Neodiprion lecontei: one gene and its partners. The protein of the gene in region 4 binds, or shares a complex with, the protein of the main gene of each other region. Links are inferred from orthologs where the notes say so. Each region holds a gene or a part of one and is shown on either strand. Other genes may lie near its edges.

Region 1 (6,610 bases), on a different chromosome or scaffold from region 4:
ATTTTCATTGATAACTAATTCTTGCTTATTACGTATTGCAGGTAATCGTGTTGAACCACCCCGGTCAGATCAGCAACGGTTATACGCCAGTGTTGGACTGTCACACGGCACATATAGCGTGCAAGTTCGCCGAGATTAAGGAGAAATGCGACCGACGTACGGGTAAAACGACTGAGGAGAATCCAAAGGCGATAAAGTCGGGAGACGCGGCCATCGTGACTCTGGTGCCGAGCAAGCCGATGTGCGTCGAAGCCTTCCAAGAATTCCCGCCATTGGGGCGCTTCGCTGTGCGTGACATGCGTCAGACTGTCGCTGTCGGTGTTATCAAGGCAGTCAGCTTCAAGGATGCCACAGGCAAAGTCACCAAGGCCGCCGAGAAGGCACAGAAGAAGAAATAACTAGCTACTATAACGGATGACCACCGTGAGGTGGCGCCGCCGCTGCCTCCCTGTCCCGTGTCTCAATTAATTGATTATTATTATTATTATTGCGATAGTAATAAGTCGGCTACTGCCGCTGCTGCTTCTGCTACCCTCATGGTAGTTAACGTTGCTGAGATTATGATATCCATTATTATGATTATTATGACACGGAGGACTGACGTCGCGCCATGCTTATTATTCACGAAACGTTGTTTATTATTTCTTTTACTATCTAAATCCGAATGGCTGATACAGCAGCACTGTTGTTTCCACCGCAAGGAATTTCGCAGGAAAAAATATTACCTATTGTAATAATGTAATAATAACTTTTTAAAGATGGCAACCGAGCAACATGAATTACTATCAGCAAAAAACATAACAACAAGGTAACTAATTGAACAAACTACAAGTGCTGATTAAATTTGTGTTTCTTTTCTTTTTCTTTGTTTTTATTTTTATTTGTAACGAGAAACCATCTGGTTAATTGAATGATTGATTACATTGGTACGGTGAAAATTGAAAATAAAAAAAAAAGATTTTAATTTAATCAAGCAGCAACGACGACGACGATATATCTTCTACCACCACGTGAAATATTACAAACAACAATATCATTGAATTTTAATGACAAGAAAAACAAATATTGTCAAACTTCTCGAAATAGTTGATGAAAAAAAACCGTCTCATTGGCAACTTTATTATTCCGACTTGCATAACGTAATTATTTACTACCTATAATAACTATTATTATTATTATTAATAATACTATATAGCAACAGAAACTTCACCCCTCCTCCTGTTTTCACAACAAACAAAACTAGAAACGAAAAACTTATTAATTATTTAGCTCGGCTTAATTATATTTTCTATCTAATTATTTACGGAAATAAAATCTTATATCGTGCGATATTCGAGAAAATAATGTTATTATTTTGAATTTTTTTTTTTTTTTTAACTAAACTTTGTACGTTGTGTCGCAATTAATGATTTTATTTTTCTCAACGCGAGAATCACGATGCATAATTTTATTTATATTTAAATGTACTTATTCTTATTATTTTAGCCTAATTTTGCTAAGTGAGTATTTAATCAATTTCCGTGGTAGTTGATAAAGAACTTATTTCGCTCAACAAATTGATGTAGGAGATGATTGAATATATATTTTCTAGAGTTGAGGTTTCAAATGGAGGGCTTTCTTGGAAATGAAATCTTGATTTGCTTAATTATATATTATAAATGAAAATTGGTTGAACGGTTGATTTTCAAAAAAAAAAAACGGACATACCATCGATGAGAATAAGAAAATGCAAAAGTGGGAATTGCATCGTGCTGCAGAATTGGATGAATACGAAATACAGCAAGGTAAGTGCGGTCTTAATCAATTCTAGTATAGTCTTCGATTAGAATTATTGCAAATAATAAGTCTTTACAAATTCAATATTTATATAAATTTACGGTTTTGTATGTAATGTACTTATATTTTATTCCTGACATTCTAATTATGTTCAAATGTAGTCCAGTTGATGGGGAGTAAAACAAACCATTGCACTACAAATGGTGGGATAGTAGTGATTGTCGTGTATGTATTTTCGGCCTTTGAGGAGAAGGGTCCGTGCGATTCGCCATCCTGGATTAGTTGCAAAAAATTGGTCTTGTTATAATAATTCCTAAGCGGTTGATCCTGCAACAAAAAGTTATTTAAAAAAAAAAACAAATTTTTGTACGTTTGATCCGAAATAGCGGATCGCGTGACCCCCTTCCCCCTACTCAGGAACACACAGTTACAATTATTTTGTAATCAAACAAATAAATTCTCATAAGTACAACGCTATCGAACTCACTCTCGCATGAAATGGATGAATAATGATCACCTAGGAGTGTAATTCAGAAAGGGATAAGAGAATCAGGCATTCGCAATTCCTAGAACTTTGACGTCACCGAGCGACTGCTGAACGCTAGATGATCCGCCAAACCGGAGCGAGCGGCAGATCTCGTCCGACCAGTGCGCCGGGTTCACTTTAGCTACACTAGTCAATTCTAGCGTCTTTTGAAATACGACAGAATTTGATGGAATACGGTGCTGACACACGGTGCTAAATGTGGTTCGCAAAGTGTCCCTCAATTCTGCCCCCAATTTCCACCACTAGTGGCGCTAGTAGTTAGTTGCCCAGCATGTTTAAAACACCGCCAAAACGAGCTGAAAAAATACAAGGTTAATCTATTTTTTAGCAAAAAATCTTTAGTCTCCGAATCAATTTGTATGACCCTTTTTTGACTAATTGGACCCCCAGAACACAGAAAACCCACTAAAAAGAGCGTAGGACCAGCAGCAGAGAAATTGCCAAGGAAATTTTCGGTTTTTGACTGTAACTCTTGATCTACCCTGGAACCTGTCTGATATCCTCAGTCAACAGCTGTCTGGAAACGAAGTCTCATTTCAATGAGACCGTGCACGTGTGCCAATCAGAAAGCTTCAAGCGGAGAATCTTCCCTACCACTCGAATTAGGTTTCATGCTCTCTAGCTAGTCTTCTGCACCATGCTTGCACCGTGTGGCCGAGTAATACCGAGGATTCGGAAAGATTATGCCTTGTTTTGAGAGCAAGATTGTGTTTTGGGTTAGAAAAATTGAAAAAACACTGGGAGAAAATTACGATATCGTCAATTCAAATCATTCAAATGAAGCTGGTAAGAATGATTGTAATTGCGTTATATTTCCTTGAGAATAAATATGCCATTGGCATAGAATTTCAATCTTCGAACGGCTTTCTAAGCTTCTAATTGAACATAACCTGACCTAGCCCCATCAACTTACAAAAATCCAATTATTGAATTATGTATCACGTAAAAAGATATGATTTCGATAAATAAAATACATAATAAATTTCAGAAATTCAATTATGACAAATAAAATGGTTTTTCAGAAACAAATTTCACCAGATAATCATAAATACCTTTTTGTTCTTATATTTTCTTGACAAATCGATACAACTACTAAGTATTCATCATATGTTTTTCTTTCTACATTTATTTCAATTTTATTTATTTCATTATTATTCCAGTACTGCCTGTCCAGCGAGCCGACAAAGCCATGCCTGGTCTTGAGCTTCAAAGGCATAACGCTAATGTTGGACTGTGGTCTGAACATGCAGTCAATTTTGAATTTCATGCCGATGCCCATGGTGCCTAGTGCCAAGTTCAACTCCCTTTCCAGTTGGGTTCCCAGGGATAACAATCAGGATTGGCAAATTGAAGGGGTAAGACCTACATTATGTCACTGTCTCGATTTTCAATTACTATTATAGACTGATGAATAAGAATTCTCGACCTCGTATGTAATCTATTATAGAATCTTGGTGATCGGTCAATTAAGTAAACGTATTTTTAGTTAACGTTTCGACCCGGATATGGGCCCTCCTCAGAACGATTTATTTTTTTAACTGTCAAGAACAACAAAAAGATTTTTTATAAAATAAATAATAGTACTAGAAGTAATCAGACTTAAATATTGTAGATGTAATACTCTTAGAGCTATTATATATTATTGATTAGTAAGAACCTTTTGATTAATTGAAATAAGAATGTCTTTAAGTGTTATTTACCTTTTTTTTTTTTTGAATTAAGTAAGTGGACTAAGATGTAGTCGAATTCACAATTACAATTGGTGGAGACAGTGTTCTTTTGAGTGACGGTAGTCAATGTCAATCTTCAAGTTATTTTACATGTGGGAGTTAATAGTTGGAAGTCATTAGTTAAAAAGATGAAAGAACTATGTTTCTTCACAGTCAGTATGTCATTGTGTTAAAAGGTTTTTAAAGAAGGTCTTTTTAGCCATAAAATTAATTCGCAAGTGTCAAAGAAGTGGAGGTAGGCTCTTTATAATTAAGTTCCACATGTCTAACAAAAAATTATTGTTGGTTGAACCGATTGAGTCAACAGGTGAATAACGACTGATGGGAGAAAACAAATATAATCCAGAGTGAAGGTGAACCTATTATAAACAATTATACAGAAAAAGGAAAGGACTGTGTAATGTGGACAAAAAAAATTTTTTTTGTATGTAGTAAAGGTTAAACAATATTTGTTGTGTGGGCGGAGATTAAAGGTTTGTAAATATTACTTAAATGCTCAACATCTTGTCTAAGATTAACAGAATTGGTGTGACCTACAATGTTGCACATTTCTAGTCAGTCTTCTAATAACAGTCTTCTATAATAATTGTGTTCTTCACAAAGGATGTTTGTGTTGTCGTAATTAAAAGTGTGTTGTTTATCGATACTACGTTTTGTTAGAGCTATGTGACGCTCTTCAATCTCATGTTGAAACTGTTGAAACTGAATTCCGATTTTTCCACCTTTCAATAAGTTTCCTTGGTTCTATTATTTGATGAGTAATGCTATCATTTTTCACAAAGAGAAAATTTGTAAATTTCTGAACACTTGTTATCAGAAGAATTGATAACTATCGAGAAACAAATGAGCCAAGGTGAAAGGTTGTTCGAGTACTCGTAACATCAAATTAAAAGTATGAAATAATCAATTACCCAAAATACTGCAGATTTATCAAGGATACCGATGAATCGATTAATTGAAACAATCGATTGAGTGAGAACATCGATGATTCCGTTAATCGAAAAACTGGTCAATCAAAAACATTGATGAATCGACTAATCTGAAAATCAATTAATTAAGAATACCGATGAATCATTTTATTAAAAAACCAATTCATTGAAAATTTCGGTTAGTCGATTAATCGTCAAACTGAATTGAAATATGAGTGAATCGATAAACAGGGAGAAGAATTAATCGAAATGTCAGAAGAATCGTTTGAAAATTCTAGACCCAGATGCAAAAATTGCATTAATGAAACTGGTATTTGAACACATTGCCAGGAGCTGAAAGAGAACTGTGGAAGAGTATTCGTTGATTCAACGCCAGAGTTTTGTCCACCGTTAGAGAAGATCACGGATTTTTCTGAGATTGATGCGATACTGATATCGAACTACACTTGCATGCTCGCACTGCCGTTCATAACAGAAGGTACGGGGTTCAAAGGTATAGTTTATGCGACGGAACCGACCCTGCAAATCGGTAGATTCTTCATGGAGGAGCTGGTTGAATTCATCGAGCAGACACCTAAGGCTATGCTGGCCAAACACTGGAAAGAAATGCTCCATGTTCTACCTCCGCCACTCGCCGATGCCATGAAACCCAAGTCTTGGAAGCACCTCTACTCTATGGCCGCTGTCAACTCTAGCCTTGCCCATATCCAGATGGTCGGTTACGATCAGAAACTGGTGAATATCAATCTATTTGTAGTCCATGGGACTGAATTAAAAGTTGGGAGCAGAGAAAAAACGTTTAGAAAATCTCCAGCAGTGTTGGTTGCACCAATAACGGTATCTACTACGTAATTGAAATGATTCCGGGCCGATTTGAATTGCACAAACTGGCATATCAACAATTTGCAAAAACGGTTTCATGATTAAGACGTTCAAGGTGCTCAAACTCTTGTGTTTTAGATCTGATCCTAATGTTTTTGGGTTGAGTTTATTCACTATAGAAATCTACGGTGATCCCTTAAAAAAAATATCGCTAATGGTTATCTCCAAAATCGATAAAAATAGATTTTTGTAAGTACGTTTCCTAAGATTTTCGTCCATAATTACATTTATGCGTTATAACTATTCTATATTATAAAATTTCTTGAATGTTTTTTAAACGAATTGTAAGGATCTGGTCAGTGAGTAAAATATCCTCAAAAACGTTAGAATCGCATTAAAAACAACATCAAAGTTCAAATATTTCGAACGTTCTATTGTAACATCTTTTTTCAACTGGTTGATAGCTTATGTTATTCGAATTCACTCAGAATCGTTTCTATCACATGGTGAAAATGTTGTTTCATTCGTCTTCACTATCATTAGCACCAATAACACTTGTGGAAATTTTTTGAACTATTTTTCCTCTTATCCAAACTTTAGACTCAGACATTACAGTACAATTAATTGCTCAATTATGAGGCCAATAAAGCGTCAAACATTTGAATCTTAGTATAATTAAAACCATCCCACTATTGTGCAAAAATTTAAGAAATAGAATGAGTTAAACTCCGATTGATAGCAAATGTACCAAAAAAGCGCAAGAAAATTGAGAGTACAATACTTGATAAATAAGGGAGAAAAATGTG
Region 2 (9,663 bases), on a different chromosome or scaffold from region 4:
CGATATACGACATGTGCAAGTCTGTAACTCCCCGATATTCTATGGTTATATCTGATATTTGTCTGCTTTCAAAAACTGGAGGGAGTAAAGGCAATTTTAACAGATGAGATCTCGAAATCGATGGTTCAGATTGAAGTTTACAAACTGATCGAAGAAAATCCACATTCTCTGTATACTTGTTTATTATCATTGTTATTCCTTAGCTGCTGTTATTCTAAGGAGTACGATTAACTTACCTTAAATTAAAATTTAATTTACGAGTGCACTAATATTATCATCATCAAAGAATACAGTTATAAGTCAATTTATTTTTTCTGGACTGAAACAGGTATCGAATTATCGCAATTGCTTCACGCAAAATATGATCTACTTTCTGTAGTAATTTGGAAATGCATTTACGATATAGTAAAAATATGAACATAATGTTTTAAATTGAACTAGCTCTTGAGTATTACGAGGAAAACAAACGAATCAAATTGTTTTTGCTGGCAGAGATCAATATTGATTTGTTAATAAATAAAAAAAAAGATTTATTTAGTTGATAAAAATTCACGAAAATTGTTGTTGCATTATTTAAGCTGATATACACCTATACGTATATCATTGTCAAGTTATATATATTTTATATATTTTTATACTCCAATGTTATACTTTATATTGAAACGTTACTAGAAAATATACTATTATATATATATTTTAATAATGGCATACTAAATTTGTTTTGAAGTCACGAGCGTCTATCGTTTCATAATTATTTCAATACCTAGCTCCACACATTCTTCTCCCTCATTTTCTAGCCTGCTTGCAACACATTGAATGCAAGTTCTCTTGCCGGAGGAGACACAATGAATACTTACTTTTGGAATCTATTCCAGCGCAGTATCTGTCATCTTCTGCTCTAATTTATCTCAAGTATTTTGCACAGATCAAGGTAATTTCCGTTTTGTAGGTTCCTCGTGCACTCGAACTTGAAGAGTCGAACGAGGTCCACACTTCCACACATTCCCAGCTTTATCCAGAATACTCGCACTGGCAGTCACTTGATATTGTCCGCCACCGCTTCCGCTTGTGCTGCCTCCACAAACAGCAGCTGCCGCCCCAGGACTTCCTAAAGAGAGTAGAAACTCACAGGCGAAGAAGTCACGGTGAGGTATCACTGTTTGCTGCAGTTCGTTCATATTCGTATCCTGTAAACAACAAGCAATATACAATCATCGTCCCGATTTCACTAATCAGGTAAAATTTGGAGTAAACAAAATCGTACCTTTTGATCTATGTTGATTTTTGATGGAGGGGCAGTGGATATGGAAATGCAGACTGCAGCGACGGACCGAAACAGAGATGCACGTCTGCCGTGTCTCAGTACACCCTCAACTTTGAGGGCAAGCTGGCTCCCTTGAGGTAGAGAAACGGGCTCACCAAGAACACGAGGTTGTGGAGAAACGGAGAGCTTCACGCTGGTGGCCTGCAGTGCTTGGAAAAAGTAACGGGGCAATGGAAGCCTGACTTTACCCCCAGCCAGCAGCGTCACCTGCGCTATTAAACACCCGACTCTTACGTGACTAATCGCCCCTCCTTCTCCGTCGCCTTCTCTACCACAGCTCGGCGCCAATCTGTACACTTCTGTGCAACAGCGTGCCAGTTGTCTCATCTCAACGGATTCACCAAAATTGAATTCAGTTTCGTTAGGCTGACACATCGCTGCTCCGACACCCCCACAGACTCGTTCTACGCTATTTGCCATCAAACGACACATTTCTTGCAAACTGTAGCGTTTTCATTGAGGAATTTTAACAAAAAAACCCGATTGTTGAATCAGGCAGGATTGATAACCAATATCTTCCCTTACTTTTATTCCTTTTTCAAATTCAAGGACTACTTTTTGTTTTTCTTTTTTGACGAAAAGTCATATTTTTTAAAGCAATCGTCTTACGTGACTGTGAAACTTTATTCATTTTTGTAAGCGATGATTTACTGATTGCAAATGAATACTGAAATTTCATACACTTTCAAATAACTATAATAAATAGGATTTTTAAATCAGAAAGGTCATTGTTTTCACTTGCGTAAGCAAGATTTCCGGCTACTAGGCTTGTTAACGCGATTTTCATATAAAAAGGATACGCTCTGATGTTTGCTAATGATCCTGGATCAGCGTCAAAAGCAGATTGATAAAGCGTTTGGTAATTCTCTGCGCAATTCCTCAACTCTTTTGCAGACTTTCTCAGCTGGTTGAAGGGGAAAAATACGTTTCTTATTAGGCAAGATAAATTTTTTTTACCAAAAATAATGCGATTGATATTCACCTGTTGAGTAACACGTCCAAAACGTTGCAAGTCATCTCTAGTGGCTAAAACAACTGTGGCTGCAATTGCTGGTGGTGGAGCAGTACACAGAGACCTGCGACCAACAGAGATATACTGAGTCAATATCTAAATTAATCCATGTTGGCAATAAATTACGTGTCACAAAATGCGTCTTTGCCACAGCGTAAGATTTTGACAGAATGCAACATTGACCTGCAGGAATGTAGAAGCTGCACCATACACTGAAGAAATTCACATCGCAATTTTGAATACTCGCTAGCGAATTGTAGACTCCGTAATGGTGTGCTGGCTGCTTTAAGGGATGCACATGCGCTAGCATACCGGGCAATTGCTCCATTTAATCTTTCAACTGTGCCCAGTTTTTTCTTGACTCCGTCGCTCTCTTTTGGGTCGTCCCTGAATTATAGTAAGCCACAAACAGTCAGTTCCGTTGTAATTTAGAGAATAAACGAAAAAATGGAAATTTGTCAATTGTTAATTGATACTTACAACAGATGACTCTCTGCGCTGGTGACCAAGTAAAGACCGGACAGCCAAAAGTGTAACTGTTCAGAAGCGACGGTTTCCTTAAGGCTTTGAAATATTTTTGTAGACACACTATGGTGGCCGTACCTCGCAGCTCCACGAGCGATGCGGTATTTTGCCCATCCGTCAACGCTAACAACGACTTTCTCGATCGCTTTCAAACACTCTGCGTTCCACTCGTAACCACCTGCCACAGTTTGGAACAGTAGAGTGCACAGCATCACCTAACAAGCAAAAGATGTTCATTTCGAAATTCTAACAATGCTACTGCACTTAAGGGGAAATCTACGAGCAGAAATCCAAAAAAGTGGGTGAATTTGGGAATTTATTTGGAATTTGTTTTAATTAAGAGCATGTAGATTTGATTGATTTAAATTATTTTTTTTTAATTACAATCAAATGGAAGCATTGTTATTGACAATAACATCAACCATTTCGCTTAATGACATCTTTTGCAGTGCCGATAATATTGCAAAAACGGCTGATCCGATGTATCATAAATTTCGAGCCAGCATTCTTGGATAATTTATCCTTTTTGCTATAACTGTAAATTTATTTTTTCCTTTGTTTAACAAAACGTCAACCTTTCGTAATTGAAATTCGATTTTTCGTAGAAAATTTCAAACTTTTTTTGTAATCAACAAATAAATATGATGATTATAAAACAAGTTGGATCGTAACAGAGAGAATAAACTATCCAAGAATACTATCCCCAATCTTGAAGTAAATCGGTTCAGTCATTTCTGAGATATAGTCGCTAATTGTTCGTCGACACTGCAAAACATATCAAGGAGCATAATTGTTCACACTATCGTCAATAAAAATGCTTTCTATTACTTGATTTTAGTACAATAAATATTTAAATAAAGCTCGATCTACATATTTTTCAACAAAAAAAACCTCAATTCAATGAAATCATTTTCAGCAGCTTACTCGTATACCCTCTCAATTAAAATATCCATACACCCGGAACTTTTTGCTACCTTTGTGTGAACGTGAGAAGTTTGTTCAAGCTTTAACAGAATGTCAGGAAGGAGCGGAAGCAACGCATTTTCACTCAAACTGCCTATAGCCCCCAATGCTTCGCACAGTGCCACAGTTTGACCCTTGTCTTGCCCTCCTTCAGTGTTAGCATTTATCAGAGTTGATCCAATGGCGTCAACGAATATAGGGCAATGTTTCGGATTAGCCTCACACAGCTTCACCGTTGATCGCAGGCATACTTTTAACTGGCGCAGATGACCCTCGTCCAACGCCAACAAAACGATCAGCGACTCAAGGCAAGACACCACGTCAGCATCTCCATACGCCGGCAAACCTTCTTCGTAACTAGTTGAATGTAAAATCGTTATTAATCACAGTTTAAGCATTTACGGGATTTCCTAATAGAGAGATAAAGTGTTTGTTTACCAGTAGCAAGCTACTCTAGCCAGGATTGTAACTGCTTTAACAGCAACGAGAAGATCAGGTGAGTAACATGCATTGACACACAGACAGAGTAGCGGGCTATCTTTCTCCATATTCGCGTCACAGGTTACCGCACTTTGACTAAGTACCTGTAATTTTTGAAAATTAGTTTTGAGCCTTACAATTGATTTCACTTGAACTTTTTTTGGAACTAACTTTCTTTGCAAATGTTCAAAAAATATGAAAAACATTACATCACCTCAATTACATCCAAAGTTCTAATTAGAAGACCAGAGTTAACGGTTCCATCTTGTAACAGTGTTGTTGTGCTATCTTTAACAGGAAATAAATATATCAGACTTATTGGCTAAACTTAAACCCATAGAATTTAGAATCTCCATAAATGTCAGTTTTAAAATTACATTACTTCTCATCTACATCCAGACTAGTCCACACGTAAATCGAAGATAAAATTTACTGCCTTGTTTACTTCTTCATTTGCTCGATCATCTTTAATAATCCTGAATCACTTCTGTCACGAAATATAATTTGCAAAAATTTATCGACTAACATACCGATCAGACTTGTGAGTGCTCCCTGTGGCCAGAGATGCGCACCTCTCCTAGCCAAAGAGTGCAGAAGATCGAGAGCATGGCGTTTAATGAATGCTCTTGGGTCGTCGTGTAAGTAGCGTAATAGCAACGCAACTTGTTCTGGGACGTCTACTAAAGTGGCAGAGGCCAGCGTGGTCAAAGCGCTTAATGTTACCCTTACAAATTCCACCGCTGGATAACTTCCCAGTAATTCCATGCACAAGTCGTTTACCTGTGTGTCAATGAAAACAGAGGAAATAAACGATTATTGGACAAAATATTTTGGATACAAAATTTTGCCCATCAACTATTCTGATGTGAAAACAAGAACGATGTAAGATTATTAGTACCATCGAAGCGGTTGACGTATCGTGATGCATGTATTGCAAAATTGGTATCAACTGTAACTTCATTGTAGCAGGAGTAGCTTGTCCTCTAATCATGTCCGATATCTTACTGCACATTGAAACTGCAAAGAGCTTCGATTGGGCGGCAAACATCTGGGCAGCATAAATTGCAGCTTCAACTTCGACGGAGTCGTGAGAATCGAGCGATCTTCTTATACTGTGATGCACCTTGACAGAATTGACAATAAATTATTTATTTATTTAGATCAACGAGCATTAAATGTCTTTTAAGAAAGATAGAATATACAAAATATTAAGATAGGTGAGGCATTTACAAGGAAACTTAGATAAGGAATAATAAGTAAAGGTCGCTAACTTTAACAAACGTTTAAACGTAGTATTATCAAAGTAATTATGATTTCGTAAAATAGATGAAAATAAAAAGTTTACAGATTTTGGTTTAAATTTAGGACTAATAGGTAACATTTTGGCTATCAAAAAATCTTTAAGGCTTCACACAAAACGTTTTTTCCACTATTTTAATTGAATTAAATTTAATAAGGTAATGTTTAATTTTCTCTACTCTTTGTTATAAATAACTCTACATAATTGGACATGCATATTAAAATTTGTTGTATGTTTTTACATTTTTTATAGCACAATTTTTTATACTTTAATGGAAGTCGTACTCGTATATAATAGATAAGTGAATGAATGACAGTTGCATAATTACCTGTTGTCTTTCTGGTATGATCCCGGCAACACTGCCTAAGGTACGCAGAGTAAGCGCTCTTGCAACTGGATCGTTGGAATGAATAACGCTAAAAATTCGTCTGACAAATTCATCAACATTAAGAATTTTGTCCAAGTGTTTTTCACTTTGTTGGCAAACCCTCAATACCCAGACGCGCAGAAAGTTGCTGCCTATCCGAAAGACGTCAGCCAACTTGAGCAGCGAAGAGTTTATCAGGATTGGAAAAGGATATTTTTCGAATAGGCGGGGAAATCGTACGATAGCTTCGCACTGCTCCCCTATCTTGTTCGACCGAAGACCTAAAACATTAAAACTTTGTCACAGGATGTCCAGATTTCCCGAATAGTTTAGAAATTTGAATTTTTAATCATCCAGTCATTCGGCCCGTTAAAGGGTTAAGATTTTTTCATCTGTAAACACAAGCTGTTACTCTCATCACTATCAAGTGTTCGACAATTTATTACTGACTTGTTTGAAAATTTCAATCAACTTTAGCATTAAATTTGGATGCTATAGAGTTTTATCTATGTTGAATAAAAATTCCGATACGAATTGTTCTGTAATAACACCGAATATTTGTTTGAAAACCAGAAATGCATAAGCTAACCTCAAATTCAATAACACGTCATATCCCGGCGAAGATTCTAACATTTTTGAGCATTCGAGTAGTCCTACAGGAAGTAAGATTGAGGAGAATATTAAGACTACGAAGATGCTGCAAATTTAGTTAATCTTCTGCCTTACCATCGAAATTCAACGTGGTAGCTTTGACAATCAAAGTAGTTAACCTACAATTTTGATTTTGCAATTACCTTTATCCAGCTCGATTAGAGCTGAATTTGCATCTTGCTCCGGCTCTCCTAAACCTGTATCGTTGAATGCGTTCATCCTCATGCCGATCATCTTACAAAATGATGTATTTTATTTCAGTTTTATAGAAATTGAAAACGTTTGCTCTTTTCCGGCACTATCCAAATATGTTTACTTCTGCAGTGAGTACAAAATATAATTACTACCCGTAAGGTCCCTAGGCAATTTTCAGTTTATCGATATGGCTCGAAGTTTGAATCTCCAGAAGAAGTGACATTTCCATATAGTGTAAATATTATGTTTGCCATTATCTGACGATCCTAATTAACTAATTGCTTTCGATATTCCGTTTTCAAAGAAACAATTCAATCGAATTTAATTGTTCGCTGATAACGAAATAAAATTATTCTTTTCAAATGGCTGCAGGGCTGTCTCACTGGTGCCTGGCAGAGAGAATCCTGAGAGAGCCCACCGTGCACGTCTTTTGTGTTCTCTATTTTGTAGCGCTATCAATCACGAGATAGGTATTTGGAACAAATCTTCGAGGTGCATGTTCAGTAATCGAATGTCGGTAAGCGATTAGCATTCTACCGTATTTAGAATCACGGGGGCCGTAAATGTTTGTAAATTGTTCAGTTTCGTCCGTTTCGTCTACGACCGGGTATCAGGGTGTTCTATATCTTATGCTGACAACGGCAGAGTTCAGTCCACGGCAGAGTATTGGTCACCTACTGACACATGCTTACCGACCGATCACCGTGGAAATTAGTCCTAAAAATGAATTTCTCATAGAGGGCGCTATGATATCAGGGACACGAAAAATGCTAGTGTAGGCCATCTCAGGCTCCTCGCTGCAGCTGGCTTTGAAGAAAATGGGGGAAAGCAACTAGTTATAACATGTCAAAAACTAGTGTGGCGGCGATGTTAAAGGTTAGTTGTCATTAAATAACCGCAAATAATAGGTAAACGGTGAAGGGATTTTGCTAATGACGGAGAAAATATCAATCACCAACAACTGAGTAGACCCAAATTTTGGGCGAACGAATTCCCATGATACTCGAGCTATTCGACTGAAAATGACTCATCTGGCATTGAAAATCAAATTCGATCACTGAACAAACCGCCGATATTGAGTGAATTGCGACTAAGCTGATACTATTCATCACGAAATATTCAAAATTTCTCACCTGCGTGCCTACTGATCTCGTTTTTCATCGTCTATTTATGCAGGACCGGAATCAGTTTAGCTTCGCAGGAAAATGGCCATGCATGCGCCCAGTAATATTGAAATTACTGAAACAAGAAGCTGTTACACAAGGGGAATGGCAGGATCTATTTTATTCAGTTCACTTGGTCTGCCTATGGGACGACAAAGGTCCTCCCAAATTAAGGGACACTCTCAAAGTGGACATAATGGATTTCATACAACAAGCACAGCAGGTAATCAATGTTGTAATTAGCATTTTCCCTCTCGGAATCTGCGAGTGACTCGCTTCCAATTTATGTATGTTATAATCCTTGCCTTACGTTGATTCAGAGAGTATTGGCGCATCAGGAAGAGCAGGCGTTGCTTAAAGCCTACATAACTGAATGGCGCAAATTTTTTACCCAATGTAATTATTTGCCAACACCGTTTAGGCAACTGGAAACTTCGCTTGCTGGAAAGACTACTACACAGAAAAGGAATCAAGCGGAGGAAAGTATAGTTAGAAAGGTAATACTCATTCCTTATTTTTGATGGATTTCTGCTGCTAGATTTATTAATCAAGTCAATATTTATTTCTGAGCAATAGTTGATGCTGGACAGTTGGAACCAGAGTATATTTGGAGACATAAAACAAAGGCTACAGGATTCAGCCATGAAGCTGGTGCGGGCGGAAAGAAATGGGGAGGCGTTTGATTCGCAGTTGGTCATTGGTGTTAGAGAATCTTATGGTGAGGCCTATGCAAGTGAAAGAGGAGTTTTCAGTAAAAACAAATGGGAATTAAAAAGAAAATTTCACAATTAATTCAATCAAACACATTATTGATTCAACAATAGTTATTGTAAGAATAATATTGTCTCAAACAAAACTTGAACTATGATCTGAAGTGGAAAACTTGATGTAGAACGTTTTATAGGATGTCTTGTTAAAATAAATCCTGACTTATATTTCAAGAAATTAAAAGTAAAGTTGAAGATTAATTGTTAATTTCACTTTTATCTCTTACAGTTAATCTGTGTTCAAATACAATGGACAAGCTGCAAATATACAGAGATAATTTTGAGGCATCGTACATAAAAGCCACGGAAGAATTTTACAAAATAAAAGCTCCTGAGCAACTTTCTCTGCATGGAGTAGAGACTTACATGCGATATGCAGAGGTAAAGTTGAGAGAAGAAGAATTGAGAGCTCAAAAATATTTGGAGCCAAATAGTGCAAGTGTACAGTTGTTGACGGATTGCTGTGTTTCTGTACTTGTCGCTACCTTCAAGTCAGCCATCCTTGCCGAATGTCCTCGCATGATTCAGCATCATGAAACAGAAAGTAATTTGAGAAAGAGACTAATAATCTTAGACAATATAAACTTTGCTAACATTAAATACATTACAAATTTTTCACACAATTTTTATTTACAGAGCTCAGACTCATGCTCAAGTTGATGGATCGCGTACCAGATGGAGTGAGTCCAATGTTAAAAGACCTGGAAGATCACATAGCGAGTGCCGGTCTTGCCGATATGATGGCAGCAGTCGATGTGATAACCCAAGACTCTGAAAAATACGTAGAAAGATTGTTGGATCTCTTTAGACGATTTTCTACTCTGGTTAAGGAGGCGTTTGACGACGATCCGCGATTCCTCACAGCCAGAGACAAGGCATATAAATTAGTTGTCAATGATTCAACTGTATTCAGACT
Region 3 (6,800 bases), on a different chromosome or scaffold from region 4:
AGCTAGTCAAACTAGCTAATGTCCCAAGATTTTCTCCTGAAACTCAAAACCGACGATACTTTTAAATCGTTAGTATTATTTCAGGTGCAATACTTCTTTAGATAAATTAATCCGAGTAAATGCCCGATGATTCTTAGTTCAATTCTCTGTTGTTGGTGTAGACTGTGTTACATGATTAAATTTAACTAAATAAATAAATAATAATAATAATGATAATAGGTGAACTCTCGACGAGGAAAGATAAGAGAATTGTAATATGTACTATACGACGACCAGTATATAAAACCCGATACTCGTAAAGATTTGGAGCCAGGATTAGCTACTGTCACTGCCTCGGCGAGATTGACTTTTACAAAACTAAAGATTTCATGCGACATGCAGATGCTACGAGAAAAGTTACTACCTACATGTACTAGGTATACAAATAACTAGTTAATTGAAGGCAGCTTGCTAAGTCAAGGAGTGAAAATATTTTCAAGAATGAATGAATTCTCATAAACTAACCGAGCAATGATTAGTTTATGTCGGACGTAAAACGACTCGTTGCAAAATTCTATGTCACAGATAACGTGGAATGTGTAATTGAATTATATTATTTCTATTGGTTCTGTGAGTCCTTTGTGGTATCGGTTTTTGTAACGTCCTATGTAAACGTTTACCTATACTAAACAAATACATACACCTATGTATATACACTATACATATATACATGGATGAATTGCGAGTAGGCGTGTCTCTTTAGCAATAAGATGAGGTTTTCTTTACAATGTCTGAACAAAGAATTTCACAGATATTATCGGTACCTTGCGTTTATTCATTATTATCGTATCATATGTTATACCTATACAATATATATAAATGCGCTTTCTAATTAATTATAACTTAAGGTACTTACCAAGTATGCGTATGAAAAATTACAACTCGCCTCAGAAAATCGATAATGCTGATTTATTTGTTGATCTATTTTCTTCAGGAAAAAAGCAAGTAACTTAAGTCTAATATGATAATGATGATAATAATAATAATAACAACAACAACAACAATAATAATAGTGATAATAATACTAGCTGAAGATGTCAAGTCTCAAACGGAAACTTTTCTACAAGATAAAAAGGAGACATCGATGACCAATTACTTATGTTTCTGATTCAGTTGAGCTGGAATTCCTGCTTCGATTCGTATATTATTTGGCAACAAAAAAAAAAGTTACGACCACCTTTACCGTTATAGAGGCAACTATTCTGATGTTACTGAATTTTGTTTCTCATACGAGTCTTCCAGACATATTTTCGCCAAGATATATTGTTCTGAATTATTGTAATTCGTAAAATCTATCTAATCTGAGTTTCGTTTCATTGTTTGAAGCCGCGAAATAGATTTACTTCATGTTATTCGAAAATATCTTTCCTTCGAGTTTCAGTTTCGAAATTCTCAATAACGATTGATTAAACGTCATACAAATGCTTGCAATTTGTGATTTTCTTAAAATTGTTGTACATAATTTATAGCAAACTGATTAAGAAGTCAACGATTAGCTGATAGACTTTTTTTTGTTTTATAAACTTGTAAATAATACTATAATAATATTTTATAGCGCTATATACAAATAAATATTTGCGCTTATCTTGAATTATACACATTTAGGTAGTATTTATAATAGATCTGTGATTGTAATATTTTTTTAACTCTACCATATTATTTATATTATTGCCAACTATGCGTGGTGCGGTATATTGAAAAATTGTGGTTTTTGGATCAGTTTGCTTACGGATTTCAATTAGTAGATAAACCCTAGCCATAGTTTATACTTGACTTGCGAATACCGTATAATCAGTATGAGTATACATAAAAATTGTAGTTTGTATACGTTGTGTACATACATACCCAGAGTATTGTGATTCCCTGAAGTAAGATACTCGTGTGTGGTTCAACAATAACGTCACCTGCAAAGAGCGTCGTGTAGAAAAATGTATTTACCTAAATATGTATGCGTGTAGTTCATTTTCCAGTGTCATGCGATTACAGTAAAGAAAATTAAAATCAAGAAAGGTTTTCATGCGAGAGAATATGAATGTAAATATATAAAGAAAAATATATAAACGTAGTTGTATTGATCGATGTAGCAACAAGTAATATGATAATGACTATGATACGTGAAAGAAGAAACAAAAAAGGATGTAATTTGCAATTACCATCAACAACATCGATCACAATGACTTTACTTTAGACATACACAAAGTTTACCACAAAATTTTCATATAATTTACTTTACACAATTTCCTTAAAACGTACGACTGACTGCTTCACAATCATGCTATGGTCAACACAATACCCCGAAATGTTAATTTTTCAATAATACTATTGTTATCATCCTGATAAGACTTTCATAAAAAAAAAAAAAAAAGGAATACTTATAAATATAATATACATTGTACAGCAGCCATGCTTATTGCATAGCGTGAAACTGTTTGAGCATTTCGAAAATCCTAAGTTTCAACCTGTACAATATTTTTAATACAACAAAAATGATGATACGCTGTTAATATAATATGTAAGCTACATATTTATTTATACGTCGGCTATCCGTCTAACCGCGTGTATAAATATCCCTGCGTACTCGAAATGAAAATGATCATAACTTATTCTCTTCTAGCAACAAAATTGTACTTAACGTAAAATGTAAAATAAAAGATCTGTGTGTAGATATGATGCTCGTAATTACGCCCATATCGTCACCCTATTAAAGATTATTTTGTTATAAATCACATAACGCGTTATGACCGAAATTCGGATGTATTTTATCATGTAATTTAACATGTGAATACGAATTAATACATAACAAATCATACGATAAATCACGAAGTATAGATTATAAGATAAAATACACAACAAATCATATACCGAAACCTATGATTTCTCATATGATTTACGTATTTTATGTTATAATCTATACTTCACGATTTACTATGAGATGTAAAAATACGTATTAAATTGTATTCACATGTTAAATTGCATCATAAAACACATCCGATTTTCGGTCATAACATTATGTGATTTATCACAGAATAATTTTCAGTAGGGTTGATTACAGTACGAATCAGACCGCCGCTACCTAAGAAAATATGACGTCACAACAGAAAAACATTCATTAGGCATATGGACGTGCCTACAGACCAACTTCGTGCTACAAACATGCTCTAAGGTTTTATCATGGAGCAATATTAATGGTTTTATATATTGCAAATTTCAAATTACCCTCATGGTGTATTACACTACGATTACCCTTAGATTCTCGTCATTTTCTTCTCATGTCAAGTTTTCGAACAGAATATCTTTCGTGGACACTTATCGGTCTAGAATGAAAGCATTGTGATTTGCGATATTTAAATTGTTACCGCAATCGGTTAAAACTTTGGAACGCACCAATTACATCACTGAACTCGAACGAGTGCTTCGAACTCTATCGGCACAACAGATAACTCGCCGATACGATCCCCAGATGTCGCTACGAATATTCAGTAATCGCAAAACAAGAGACTAGCATGAGAAATGGGTGGGAAAACTCGTGTTAGTAGTAATAGTAGTATGCATGTACCGTCTTCTCAAGTGGTCTGTGGTCCTTCTACCCCGCATCCGATGGTATTGGGTATAGCCTGCCGGTTGTTTTACGCTATACTCCGTGGTTTTACGTTTTATATAGCGTTGTTCCATACATGCTCCGCACACATCAGCGTGAAGCACGTACTTAAACAGCACTGCACAGGGCCAATAGCCACAATAGCAGTGGCACGTTGATTCTGCACAGAACTGAAGTAGACAGAAAATACTGATCCAATAGTACTTATCTATCCATTCCTCGGTTTTTTTTGCAAAGATATTATTTAGGTTTTAAATCGATTTCAATGGTCGTATAATGTTAGGACGGTAATTATTAGAAACAATATATTATGTAGGGAATGACCTCATGTTTCTATTTAAGTCTGTTAAATACCGAAGTGAACTATTGTATCTAAAATAGCTTGGCTTGAAAAGAAAAATAAAATACCCTCGATATCAGAATTCAAAATCATTCTTCCACCATGTAAAACACATCTCCCTCATTCCTAAAACAGGAGAAAAACTTCAAATTGTTCAGTGAAAATTTAAGCAAATATGAGGAATTAAAATTATTCGAACCCCTCCTTTGTTTGATCACTTGTGATGCCTTCTATTTTTGAAAGGATCTCCAATATGATAAAAACATTGTCTTCCTTGTAAGATAGAAGTATAACCACGCAGCATATTTTATTTTTTAACATTTTTTCCCAGGTGAAACAGTGTTGCGATAATAATGTCTCAGTTGGATCTCGACCCTCAATTCATGCAAGGACTCCGTCTCCTACATTCGCCGAACAAGGATTCAGCAGAACAACTTCGGTCCCTTCTTGATGACGCAATCAGACAAAAACATGGCCCAGCGAAAATGCTCTGCAATGTTCTCCATAAAAAGGTACAAATAATAGATTATTTTTATTTTCCCAGTCCAGGTCTCAATTTGTTAATTGTTCTTGATATTGAAAAGGCACTGTTCAACAGCATAGTATCAACATTATTGTTTAATCGCTTCATTTCGATTTTAATAATATGCTATATGAAATCTTATCGATTTTTGCCTCTCCCCAAAAATTAAAGGATCAATCTTTGTTCCATTGCAATATCGCTGTGAATTCATTTATTTTTCAGTACACAATGGAAGAGCCAGTGCTTAGTGACCACAGCAGTGGTAGTAGCAAGAAGAGCAAAGGATCCACCACGTCATCCAAGCACTCGAGCAAATCGAGTAAAAACAGTTCACCCATCAACCTACCTTCGCACGACACTCCCCCAGATATTATCCAGACAGATGACACTTTCGCCCTAGAGATTCTAGAAGATGATTTAACATGCGTCATTTGCAAGGGAATGGATGTAGGGGCAAGGAACCGACTTGTGGAATGTGTAGAATGCCATTCTCTCTATCATCAGGAGTGCCATACGCCTCACATTCTGGATACTCAAATAGATGATCCGAGACTAGTTTGGTATTGCTCGAGCTGTTCAAAATCTCAACAGGTGGGTAAGGTTTTGTTTGAAAATTCTATGCCCACAGACATTTTTTCATTTTGAGGCAGGTCTTCTAATTGTATTTGGAAGCTTGGTTGACTTTCATTTTAATTATTCCTTCAACTATCTCAGGCGTCAAAGGACAGAAGTTCGCCGCGAACTATTGCCGAAGGAAAATCGAAAGATCACAAAAAATCATCAGGTTCCAGTAAGTGTACCAAAAGGAAGAAGAGTTCAATGATATTTTCATACAAAATGCTTGATTCCTTCGTTAATTTGATTTCCGTAGCCTCGAAGCATTCCGACAAGTACAAATCAACTTCTAGTAACGCTACCTCGTCACAGTCGAATAGTGGCGGCAGTACACCAACAGGTGCATCTAATGCACCAAAACTCACACCGAATATAAACATTGTCAGTGGGGACAGAAGATTAAGGGATATGATGAAGAAAGTGAAGCAAGAGAAACGCAGTAACAGTAGTGGTAGTAGTAAGCATTCTTCGTCAAATGCACTTTTATCTTCGTCAAAAACTGCCCAAGATAAGTCTTTACTGTTTAAGATAAAATCGGGCTCAGAATGAATGATAGGAATTAAATCCTTTTTTTTATGTTCCTCTCATGCCGAGCAATCTTGCTTCGAGAGCCGATTTTGGATTGAAAAAAACTCTGTATGTAAATGTATCGAAGTAAAACAACCTTTTTTTTTATTTAAAAAAGAGTTTATCCAATTCTGACCAAACTTTTATCCCTTGCCCCTTTTTTTTAGACAGGTATAACATGGTATGAAATGAATAATGGGAAGACATAATAAGAACGTTTAGTTTATAATACCAATATATTTTGCGATTTCTCAAATGTTTGTCCCTACGTCCCATTGAAAATTTGGCAAGAGTCGTTTTCGTTTGTTTGTTCATAATTTGTTTTTTTTTTTATCTCATTTTTTTTCCGAGCGTCACTTAGAACCTAGTAGGTGCGGGATTTTTGGTTATTATGTACAGGGGTGTCATGGGGATATATTAGCATGCACACACATATATACATATTTCGTAATCTAATAATAAAATATGTTCGCTTCCTATATCAAAGTGGTGTGCCTACTCATATTACCCAACAATACCTAAAGTATTTCCAAGTACCCGTACAGAGTATGTTCCTATTTAATGCTAATCCAATATGGTGACTTAAGTGATTTCAAGCGCGCAGCAATAAGTGAATATTGATTGGTGAAAAGTTTTAATTTTCGTTACCATCTGTACAAAATTTATAAATATTTGAGATATATGTATATTGTATGTATATATCAGCTGTAAAACCTATGTTCGCGTTTGTTGTGCACAACTTATATGAAAATTATAACAGAAACAATTGGCACATTTGTATAAAAAATGTACGTACGCGACTTCAGAATGTCTATATTAATGTATCTATATACCTTTTTATTTTAATTTTTAATTTTACTTTATATTATATCAATATGAACAAAGCTGTAATTGGCGTTATTGTTTTCTGAATCGTTTCATCTTTTCCTTTCTTTCATCTAAACAGCTACAATCATAAATAAGTTAAAATCATCATTTCGTACACAAATGTTAGTCTGTTTTTTAGTTTCTTCTCGTATAACACAAGCTGAAAAAGTACACTGTAACGGAGATGATGGACTAACATGAAAGTTTCAAAGTGATCACATTGGATATATTGAAGCCGGAATATGCTCTTG
Region 4 (9,639 bases):
CCTTCATTTTCCAGAAGGTAATGTTATGAAATATTTCTGTTATAATTAATCAGGAAAGTTGATATCTTTTAATACTCCAAAGATTATGTGAAACTGTTCAGATCTACTAATCCTAGCCGGCAAATGGTATTAAGAAATGGTTGACAAGTGTCAATTGATAAAGTTTATTGAAGCTAAGCAAATCGCAACTGCAAGAAATCAGCACTATTGTAATTTTTATAATTCAGGTATGTGTCGCCATCACCCCCACAGCCACCACCTAGAAGACTTTCTGAAAGCAACTCGGTCCCTGGAAGTCCGCAACACATGCGCACCCGTTTACATTATACTCCTGAACCCCAAAGAAGGCCTCCACCCACATAACCCAATACATCTATAAAGACTTGGTCTCTTATCAGTGCCATACACTATTTTGCTCTGCCAATTTGACGCACGGCCTGGACCGATTTTACACTCAATATTACACTCAACTGTCTGCTGGGCAGTCTATGTACAAAGTGGTGGAACCATAGTGGAATCAGATGAGTCGTTTGGCTATCGCGCACTAAAAATCAAACTTTTATACTTACAGTTTATTACAGCGCTTAAAATCACGGTGACAATTGGTGAATTTTCGTACTTGCACAGTCACTGAAAATTGTAAAAGATAAATTTTCCATTGCGCAGCAATTCTCGTAATGAAGCGGTATAATGAATTTTTGTAATTTTATTTATTTTCATTTTTATTACAGTGTGTAAGTGCAGGGCTGGTAGGAAGTGATTTGTAGTAACTTTCGTTATTCTACAAAACCTCTGTTACTTTTTTAGTGCAATACTACTTTATGATTTTCAGTGATATAATATAAATTAAAAAATTCTATCAAATATTACTTCCTGTCAGTTTGGACAATATTTTCTTCCAAAAAATGTTTTGGATGTATGTAACGGTTTTTACAAATTCATTACTAATAGTCTAATAGTTATTTCTGAAAGATTCTATAATTCTGTGCTGCAGCTCGAGGTGGTGAACATTCTTACTGTGCATGCATCGCTATTTGAAAATATTTTCATAGTGCAAAGCGAGATCACAGGGCACAGCTGTAAAACTCACGTTCAGTTCAGTTTCAGTTGGCTTGGTTATTACCAGGCCTGGTACAAGAAAAAATTGCTTTCAATAATTGACAACGTTAAAAATTCGAATTCTAGTAAAATCAAATTCTCTATCAAGATTCATGGCAGCGAATCACTATCAAGTTCCCGTAGGTCGACACACGTTAGTTATTTTTAACCTCGAGTCATTGTGCTACGAAAATCTAAGTCATTTCTGGAGAGTGAAATTTAGCCTGAACGTATACCTTTTATTTATTTTATAAATCTCAGATACAGAAAATGGTGTATACAAAGTTCAATTTACGTTTATTTTTTCAAACTACGTGTACTGGTTTTCAGCATCTTTTAACAGAGCATTGTTTCACGCTTGACTATACATTTTGTTATTACTACAATTTCGAAATATAGAAAAGAACCTGATGAAATCCTTTGCCAGTTTTAGCACATGGTGATAGTGTTCTGATTGGATAACAGCTAATAAATTTTTATTTCCAATTGTAAATCTATTTTTGAGCAATCGAACGCAAACCAAATGACAAGGACCATCGACTGGCTCCTGTAAGTAAGCATAAGCTCCACGTCTCTTCAACGCTATAAATTTCATTGTATATTACTTAAAGGAAGGGCGTGGCAGCTAGCAGGATGTAATTATTATTTTTAAATAATATTATTAACATTAACTACGATGAAGTCTACGCTCGTAATCACTTTTGTCGCTTATTCGGCAAGAGGATTTTTTGCAATGTAAATAAACTTATATTTATACGACACTCTGTTTTATATGAAATGTGCCTATCGTACTAATTGACATGTTCCATTTTTATTAGTTTGTTGTAAAAAAGAATACAAAAAATTAGGAGTCTTTTCCTGGGTGACTTAAGTTTAAAAATCCAAGGAAGTAGACTATATAACTCAGTAGATGATTTATTATCTGTGGAAAGGTAATTTGAATACAATCCAAATTTTATAATAAAGTTTCACCGCTTAAACTGTACATACCTATACACACATATATATATATATATATATACACACACAAACAACTTCAGTATATATATATATATAAAATATAAAAATGAATTTGTCTTTATAAATACAAAAGGTACTTTCGTTCAATATTAATTTATATTTTTATATTTTTAATGATAATGTGTATACAAAATGTATGTACAAGTCATTTCATGTGTATGGTATAATTTAGAATACTCTTGACTGGAGAATTGCTTTTTGCAGCAAAGCAGCGAACGTTTTGTTGACCTCGCGACATAATATTTCTGCGGATTTATCTCCCAGGGCTGCTTGGGCCACACTAACTCGTCCAAGTTGTAGCAATAAAGCAGTTGTATCTTCAGCCAAAGGTGGAAATGCCAAACAGATCCTTGTAAGAGCTGGTAAAACAGGCATGAATAACAACACTCTACCTTTAGCTGGCAAAACTCCTAATAAAGTTGCCAGTGTATTAATAGCTAGCCGTGATACACTCAGAGCTTTTGGTAGGGCATACTGAACTGCCAAATGAGATGCTAGATCAACAGCAAATACTTGCTTCTCTGGTTCAGGCTGCGACAACAACTCTGGTATCCAATCGAGACAAATGTGCATAGAGGGAATACCAGAAACAGTAATTGGTAATAGCTCTCTTGGATATCCCTGAAATCATAAATAAGGATGCTTCAAATATTTTGTTTCATTTACAAAGGCTGGAAACCTGCAAAGGAATACTTCAACCAGTGTTTAGGGAATGTAACAGGATGCATCACGAAGTTAGTGGCAAAATTCAATCAGCCAAGTAGATATTTGGAGCTTATTCAGTTACAGAAAGCAAACCGAAATTTGTGCTAGTATTTCCAGTTCTGTTTAATTTTCTTACTCGATTACTGAATGGTAATTTCTTGTGTTATAGCCATAATCATTCAATAAAGTTGATAGATTAACCCAGGGTTTAAAAAATAAGTATACTCACTTGAAAATGCACTAATTTTGCTAGTGAAGGATCAGCAATAAAAACTTGATGAAGGTATGAACAAACGACACTTCGTATTTCCCTTAGGGACCACATTTGACCAGGCACTTGACGATCTTCTTCTGTTTCTAAGCAGGCTTCTAAGAGAATTTGTACTGCTGCACTCTCTTGCCCTGCAACCAGAGCAGTTCGTAGATCCTCTCTTTCAGCTTCGCTGGTTAGTTGACCAATTTTTTCTGTTAAGGGTCTGTCCTGCATATGTCTAGATAACTGAGATCGAGATGCAGCTAATGTTGCTTGCAAAATACTGTTGGAGTGGAGAAATAAATCGAGTCAGTTTCTAATTCATCAAGAATGATATACTGGATTTGTATTCAACTCAGCCTTTTACCGACGCTTCTTTCTTTGATCTCTCAAACTTATGCCACACAGACTTATAACGGCATACTGTTTTGTTAAAGGAAGTTGTGGACGTCAAGAATTCGTATCCATGACTTGCAAAGAGGTGAAAATTTTCCAATGCAATAAAATCCAAATTTTAAGAAATAATGTCATGTCAAATGTTGAAAGTATGAAAAACAATTCGTAGAAACGTCTGTTGAACAGAAGTGATATTTTACAATATTTCTGTAGAACACCAAAGAAGCAGGCATTGAAAACTGATTACAGTGGGTTGCAGTAGGCTGAAATGAAAAAGTTCATATTTCTTACCGTAGAATAACTGACAAGACGGGCGCGCATCTAAAAACTCTTGTGTGGCATCGCAAAACTTGCAGTGGGTCAAGGACAATGTTTTCTTGAGTAAGAAATACATTCCTGACCATTGTATTTTCAATGATTAATGCATTGATTGATAGTACCCAAAGGCATCTTGGTAATACAGTGTTTAATCTTAACCAGACTTGTTTATACAGTTCTGAAAAATTAAATTGAGTATTAGAATTTTCAACATTACATGTATATTATTTTGCGGTAAGATTTACTTAGGAATCATTGTGAAGTACTATTTATACCTTGAATGTATCTTGGTACTTTATTGTCCAATATTGCTTTGAAGAAATGTATAATGGTTTCCGCATGTGGCCAAATATCTGTAGGCTTCATGTCTATAAGCTGACGTAGTAATCTTCCTGTTCGGGATGGGCAAGTTTCGATATGTCCAAATGCCTCGATAATTGCTACATCATTAATTACAACATTGTCGTAATTAGCTGTCATTGAGTCTATATTTATCATCTCTTCATCCAACCAGTCATCCACCAACGACAGATGTGGAAAATGTGTGGCTAAGAGCCGCAAAAGAGGAGAAAACAATCCTGCGTAACTCATTTGATCCCTTTGAACTTGTTGCAAGAGATATTTTATTGGCAACTCAGATAAGAACTCGGTTGAATACGACTTCACTTTTTTACCCTGTGATATGAAATTATGCATATTTGATAATCTCACATCCTCGTACAATAATAAATAATACAATAGCAACAGTTGTGACGTTAGGGATGGTTTTGAAGTGTCAACATCCATGTAATCATTTTCCATATCAGCAATATTTAGAACAGACTTTTTTGGATCGAAATTTGCTCCAAAAACACTATTCTGGAATACTCTTCTGATTTCATCCTCTGTGATCGGTTTATTGGTATGTTCGGAGGTTTTGTTAGTTGTAACTAAAATTGAATTGACGTATACCTCCACCAGAGCTGGTAGTACAGGATGTAGGGGAGGTACACTGTCGCATATTTGACGATAAATCCAATTTTTAATTGGTACTTTGTGTTTGGCAAACGCTCTTGATTTTAGCAACTGATGTATGCAGTGCACAGGCAAAAACCCGGGGATGTTTGCGCTGAGATTTGCTGTAACAGGGACCTTCACTGCATGAGATGTGACAACCTGTTCAGTGAATATTTCTTGTGTGAATATCTGCTTCATTCTAGTGAGATTATTTGGCCTGATGGGTATTTTCATTCCTAGAGTAGCGCAGACCAGCTCACAAATAGCGGATAGCTGATTGCTGTGGAAATGAATAGCCATGAGAAGTAACATTTCACCAAAGCTGGCAGACACGCCACTTGTACTTTCGAAGTAAACTTCTTCTCTGACAAGCCACTGTACCCATTCTATGCTACGTTTTTCAAGATTACTGTGTCCTATCAGCGACGGGCAAGCAATTAGCATGCACAATCCCAAAGACACGAATCTGACCCCAGCTGGAGATGGTGGGGGATGAGAAGTCAATAATTGCACTATCATGACAACTTCGTCGTCCTGAAATTTTATCCCGCCGATTCCTCTGAGCGCGCAATAAAGTCTGAGCAAGGCACTGGCTTGAACAACATAAGACTCTGCCAACTGACTGTCTGAGCTGTGGGAAGTAATTGCCTTTAGTCTTCTAAGCAGTTCTTCTCTAAGAGATTGCAGAGCTGTATGGGACTCCCATTTTCGTTTCTGACCATTCCTGACAAACATCGCGATCCAAGTTCTTACTTGCTGATCATTTCCAAGCAACAATCCAGACACAAAAGCAACCATGTCGCTTTCTGGTTGTAAGTTATCGATATTCTCATGTTCAAGACTCAGAGTTATGGCAAGTGCAGGCATGCGGCATAGTTCAACACATTTTGCTCTAACAGCTAAAGCCTGACTGGGATTCATTTGGCACAGCATGGTCAAAGCTTGGGTACGAATTCGACCTAAGGCAGATTCTTCTTGTCTCTCTCCATTTGCGATCAGATGAGCACAAACCTCTGCAAAACTATCTGGACTGTTGGCTACGATCCAGCATATTATCTCTGGACCATGTTTAACATGTAACAAAGTTTCCGCTATGTCTAGAATCGACAATAGAGCAGGGAGTTCTGCCAGGGCTATGCAAATAACATCGCTTATTTCTTCCATGTAAACCGCATTATCAAATAAATCTGATTGCTTGATCTGAAACTCTTGATTTCTCTGGAGCTCTTGTATCTGAGAGGCTATAAAAAGGATCTCACTGAGTACTAAGCGTAGTCGTCGAGTAGAGTCACTACGTTCGAATTCCAAAGCTAATCCGCTCTGTAATGACTGAGCAAGAATGCTGTCGCTTTGAACACTTCCAAGTTTTTGTCTGAAACAAATAAAATTGAATCAATCAAATTCCTATAAGTTGACTTTGAATTATTTCTTTCACTTTGCTAGAAATAGAGTCTAGCAAAGCCTTTCACCTAAGTGAAATACATTTATGATATTCCATATACACATCGGTAATGTGTCTTTGATCCAAACATTTTTCATTTCTGGTGTATTTTCACAGTAAAATCTTAATGCACATTACAACATTTAGCTAGAGATTGCTGCCAGAATATGGATAAGAAATGGAATGAAGTGATAGCACAAATAGAAGAATGATAAGAGAATTGTTTTCAAAATTTGAACGTGCTATTAAGACCATTCTCAGGTTACCGTAAATCTTTCAAAAACTAGAGGTAAGACAGAGTTTCAGTAAGTAGGTTTTTTGATTTCATTGTTGACAAACTGTTGTTTGCGTGCCAAAAATCTATGACAGATGTTTGGGATAACCTAACTTAACAAAAACTAACCTCAATTGTTGTTCCTTACGAACGTCAGTTTCTAACGCGTGAAAGTCTATTGATAGAAGAGCTACGATGGAATTAACTAATTCTATCCCGGATAATATCGTTAATATTTCTTTTCTCCCTTCTGCGCATTCTTTTGTGATGTCCAAGGGTGAGATCAAGCTCATCCTAACCAAACAGGGTAGAATTGGTCGTATTTCTTTCTGAGAGCACGTCGATAGTTCTTTGATATGTACATTTTGTATCGCAGTAAAAACTCGGGGCGACACTGCAGTGTTGGTTGGCATTTTTAAACAACTATTTAATAACGTTATTAGAATTAAATTAAATATCACCACATCCGCGTACGAGCAGACGCAACGTCAACCTCGTTTCAAGTTTCAATTCAGCTATGTCGCTTTCAGGAAGTAGTAAGCCTGACGCCGTGGACGACGGCAATTCGGTAAGCAAAGGTTAACGCTATCCTCCAGAGAAGCCTGCATGAGGAGAGAGGCCAAGCTCTGACGCCGAATAGGTTTTTTAAACTAATTTTCGAGCTACGGGGACGGTAAATACGTATGTCCATAGCTGACTAATACTCTGCCGTATTTAGCATCACGAAGACAGTGTATTGTGCAGTGCATATTTTCCATAGCAAAGTGCCACCGCAGTGGTCGAAACAGAGTAATTCACAAACATTAAAAATTCATTCAAATTTGCAACGGCATTTACGCCGAGCCGTGTCGTTGGCTAAAGACAACAACGACGTGTTACGGAAATTCAGTAAACATCCGATCGCATTGCGCGCAGCTCTTAGCGCTGCTGACTGGTCGAAACAATTGTTTATGAGCGCCTCGCAGCATCAGTCGCTTCCGAGCAGCCGAAGCGAAATTACGTGGCGATTTAGGCCAGAGTTCAGCTCAGCGTTATTCAGGCTCTGTCACGTTATTTGAACAGTGCAGTACTCGTACCAAACTCATCGGTGTATAATCTGCGAATGATAGATTGTGGCCCAAAGAAAAATTTACGCGATGCGAGGAGGGAATTTACCTTAGGCGGCCAAAAAGTAAATGGTTTTTGGGAGTCTTTTCAACGTGGAAGAATTGAATGAATATTTTCTATACTCTGATGATCTTTTATTACTAGATTGCACTATATCTGGTAATTCTTACAAATCATTTGAACCATAACTGCGAAGATTGTAATTTTGATCTGAAACTAACTGAACAGAAAGTTTTAATTTTCAGATTATTTTTAAAAATATGAACTTAAATCCACCCATTAGAGTTAAAAATTTAATGTTTTACGCGTGTTCTAAAAAGGAGGTGCGATTTTTTACCGTTCTTTCACAGTTATTTTACAATCAACAAAGGGTATTTTAGATAATGAAATCACCTCAACGATAGGTAGGTTTTAGCCAAATTGCCAACGCGAATGAAGATTCGCTTAATCAATTGTGGTTCAAATGACTCGAAAAAATTACCAGATGTAGTTCAAACTAGTAACAAAAGATCCCCAGAGTTAAGAAAATATCCATTCAATTCCTCCCTCCCGAAAACATTTCCGAAAACCACTTACTTTTCGGCCGCCTAAGGTAGATTAATTCCCCCTGCTTCTAACTGATTTTTCTATTTTAACATATTACGAATTATATTCTAATTCGTTTCAGGTCACTGAGTTTCATTGACTCCACTGAAAAATCAACATATCTTTATTTAGGTTGAGATTTGACCACAAATCCAATAAATGTTCAATGTAATAACATTTTGCAAATGATACAAAAGTAGTGACATATATCTTCTGTAGTATTCAACATACCCGAAACTATAAAAACAATGATTTTATGGGGGCTTCGATATTTTATTTATCAGTTATGTATACTATTATGTTATTAATTATACTCTCATCCCTTTCACGTGGATGAGAAGTTTAGTTCAATATTTAGGCGAAAACAAACGAACTCGAGTTTTCATTTACGTCAGTTTGTAATTGATATTCATAAAGTGAACCAGAGTTACTCAAGGGCACTAAGTTTCTCTCTTCCTAAACAGGATCAATGAATTAATAGGGATAAATCATTATGGAACTCTGGCAAAAGTGTCAGTTTGAAAACTAAACAGCGCGTCTCGTCTAGCGCTTTTTACTATGCTTTTTACCGACGGTCACGTTTACGCGGCAGGTCAAACCGAATCCAGGTGGCACTACTTGACTCGTATTTGTTTGATTAGCCACAATTCAATACACTGCCGGTTCTTCTGACACGTCGAATTAAAACTTCAAAACGTTCGTAATTTTAATACGCGCCAATTCCTGCCATACTTTTGTATTGCATAAAAAAAATTGCCATTCAGGATCATATTGAAATAGGCTGAGAACGAGTTTGGTTACAAGCATCAATATATAATGGTAATTTCATTTATACATGGTTAATCGTAATTGTAACATATAATTTATTCGTGAGAATCAACAAGCGGTTGTGGTATATTACATAACAACAATAGCAACAATATTATAATGCAAGTACAATAACTCTAGAATTGATTTAAACTTAAGAAACGTTATTTATGATATAACATTGTATATAATGTAATACATCGTAAATCTCTCAAATATTTGTATAATTCATAATTAACAAATGTATACATACATGTATAAAAAGTATGTACAATTCAGGTATGTTGATAAAATTACACCAGGGAACGAAGATTTTGATCTTGAATCCCAACACAAGTGGCTCAAAGTCAGTCTATGTAATTGTATCGCCTTAAAAAATTTGGTAAATTTTTTCATTAAATATCTGTTTACTTCCAATGCATGGAAAAGACTTATCAACATTTTTTATGTCAAATCTATTATAGACGTAAATCACCTCAAATGTATGTATTACCGGTTTTTAAATCAACGAACAAATTATTCTATACCAATGGATGCTGAGGATGCGGTATCTGCGGCTTATAATTAGATATTAATTATGCATTGTAAAGTATAAAAGTTATTTTAAGATAAAGAATATTTCGTCGACTTCGTAATGAC

Evidence for each region.
Region 1: integrator complex subunit 2 (region 4) and integrator complex subunit 9 share a complex: the UniProt entries of both Homo sapiens proteins name them as parts of the integrator complex. The link is inferred for Neodiprion lecontei from reciprocal best matches to the Homo sapiens genes INTS2 and INTS9.
Region 2: the proteins of integrator complex subunit 2 (region 4) and integrator complex subunit 7 are in contact, whole or in part, in a cryo-EM structure (PDB 8RC4), measured with the Homo sapiens proteins. The link is inferred for Neodiprion lecontei from reciprocal best matches to the Homo sapiens genes INTS2 and INTS7. Residues at the interface, in NP_065799.2 of Homo sapiens: Gln27, Lys28, Val29, Cys48, Arg51, Met52, Cys55, Ala56, Ala58, Asp59, Gln60, Ser61, Trp64, Phe92, His93, Ala186, Glu187, Pro189, Ile194, Val218, Asp220, Ser221, Asn223, Glu224, Ser259, Leu262, Lys263, Arg265, His285, Gly294; in NP_056249.1 of Homo sapiens: Leu38, Gly39, Glu40, Cys42, Glu43, Val46, Arg47, Asn77, Phe78, Leu81, Cys82, Leu84, Lys85, Gln88, Gln89, Asn114, Asp115, Pro116, Val117, Ala120, Ile121, Arg124, Val153, Glu156, Val159, Phe160, Ala163, Leu195, Lys196, Pro199.
Region 3: integrator complex subunit 2 (region 4) and integrator complex subunit 12 share a complex: the UniProt entries of both Homo sapiens proteins name them as parts of the integrator complex. The link is inferred for Neodiprion lecontei from reciprocal best matches to the Homo sapiens genes INTS2 and INTS12.

Annotation. Positions count from the first base shown.
Region 1 is NC_060264.1:21,327,392-21,334,001, reverse strand, and holds the start of integrator complex subunit 9, read left to right. Parts: upstream 1-2,977; 5' UTR 2,978-3,100; coding exon 3,101-3,109; intron 3,110-3,375; exon of another isoform or gene 3,376-3,483; coding exon 3,484-3,678; intron 3,679-4,023; exon of another isoform or gene 4,024-4,058; intron 4,059-5,312; coding exon 5,313-5,717; intron 5,718-6,610. Other genes in the region: elongation factor 1-alpha, read left to right, coding at 42-398. UniProt on the Homo sapiens protein: Component of the integrator complex, a multiprotein complex that terminates RNA polymerase II (Pol II) transcription in the promoter-proximal region of genes.
Region 2 is NC_060266.1:20,109,771-20,119,433, reverse strand, and holds integrator complex subunit 7, read right to left. Parts: upstream 6,932-9,663; 5' UTR 6,857-6,931; coding exon 6,766-6,856; intron 6,253-6,765; coding exon 5,933-6,252; intron 5,428-5,932; coding exon 5,203-5,427; intron 5,085-5,202; coding exon 4,835-5,084; intron 4,593-4,834; coding exon 4,519-4,592; intron 4,409-4,518; coding exon 4,263-4,408; intron 4,182-4,262; coding exon 3,836-4,181; intron 3,077-3,835; coding exon 2,817-3,076; intron 2,724-2,816; coding exon 2,520-2,723; intron 2,401-2,519; coding exon 2,307-2,400; intron 2,229-2,306; coding exon 2,125-2,228; intron 1,767-2,124; coding exon 1,265-1,766; intron 1,188-1,264; coding exon 927-1,187; 3' UTR 710-926; downstream 1-709. Other genes in the region: molybdenum cofactor biosynthesis protein 1, read left to right, coding at 1-107; cullin-5, read left to right, coding at 7,661-7,693, 7,994-8,203, 8,301-8,477, 8,557-8,698, 8,977-9,291, 9,384-9,663. UniProt on the Homo sapiens protein: Component of the integrator complex, a multiprotein complex that terminates RNA polymerase II (Pol II) transcription in the promoter-proximal region of genes.
Region 3 is NC_060264.1:35,287,824-35,294,623, forward strand, and holds integrator complex subunit 12, read left to right. Parts: upstream 1-2,942; 5' UTR 2,943-3,646; exon of another isoform or gene 3,647-3,924; intron 3,925-4,308; 5' UTR 4,309-4,330; coding exon 4,331-4,489; intron 4,490-4,722; coding exon 4,723-5,091; intron 5,092-5,214; coding exon 5,215-5,290; intron 5,291-5,371; coding exon 5,372-5,664; 3' UTR 5,665-5,811; downstream 5,812-6,800. UniProt on the Homo sapiens protein: Component of the integrator complex, a multiprotein complex that terminates RNA polymerase II (Pol II) transcription in the promoter-proximal region of genes.
Region 4 is NC_060262.1:33,653,887-33,663,525, reverse strand, and holds integrator complex subunit 2, read right to left. Parts: upstream 7,012-9,639; 5' UTR 6,915-7,011; coding exon 6,631-6,914; intron 6,159-6,630; coding exon 4,066-6,158; intron 3,969-4,065; coding exon 3,764-3,968; intron 3,648-3,763; exon of another isoform or gene 3,444-3,647; intron 3,360-3,443; coding exon 3,053-3,359; intron 2,740-3,052; coding exon 2,287-2,739; 3' UTR 1,588-2,286; downstream 1-1,587. Other genes in the region: dual specificity mitogen-activated protein kinase kinase 7, read left to right, coding at 1-17, 228-363. UniProt on the Homo sapiens protein: Component of the integrator complex, a multiprotein complex that terminates RNA polymerase II (Pol II) transcription in the promoter-proximal region of genes.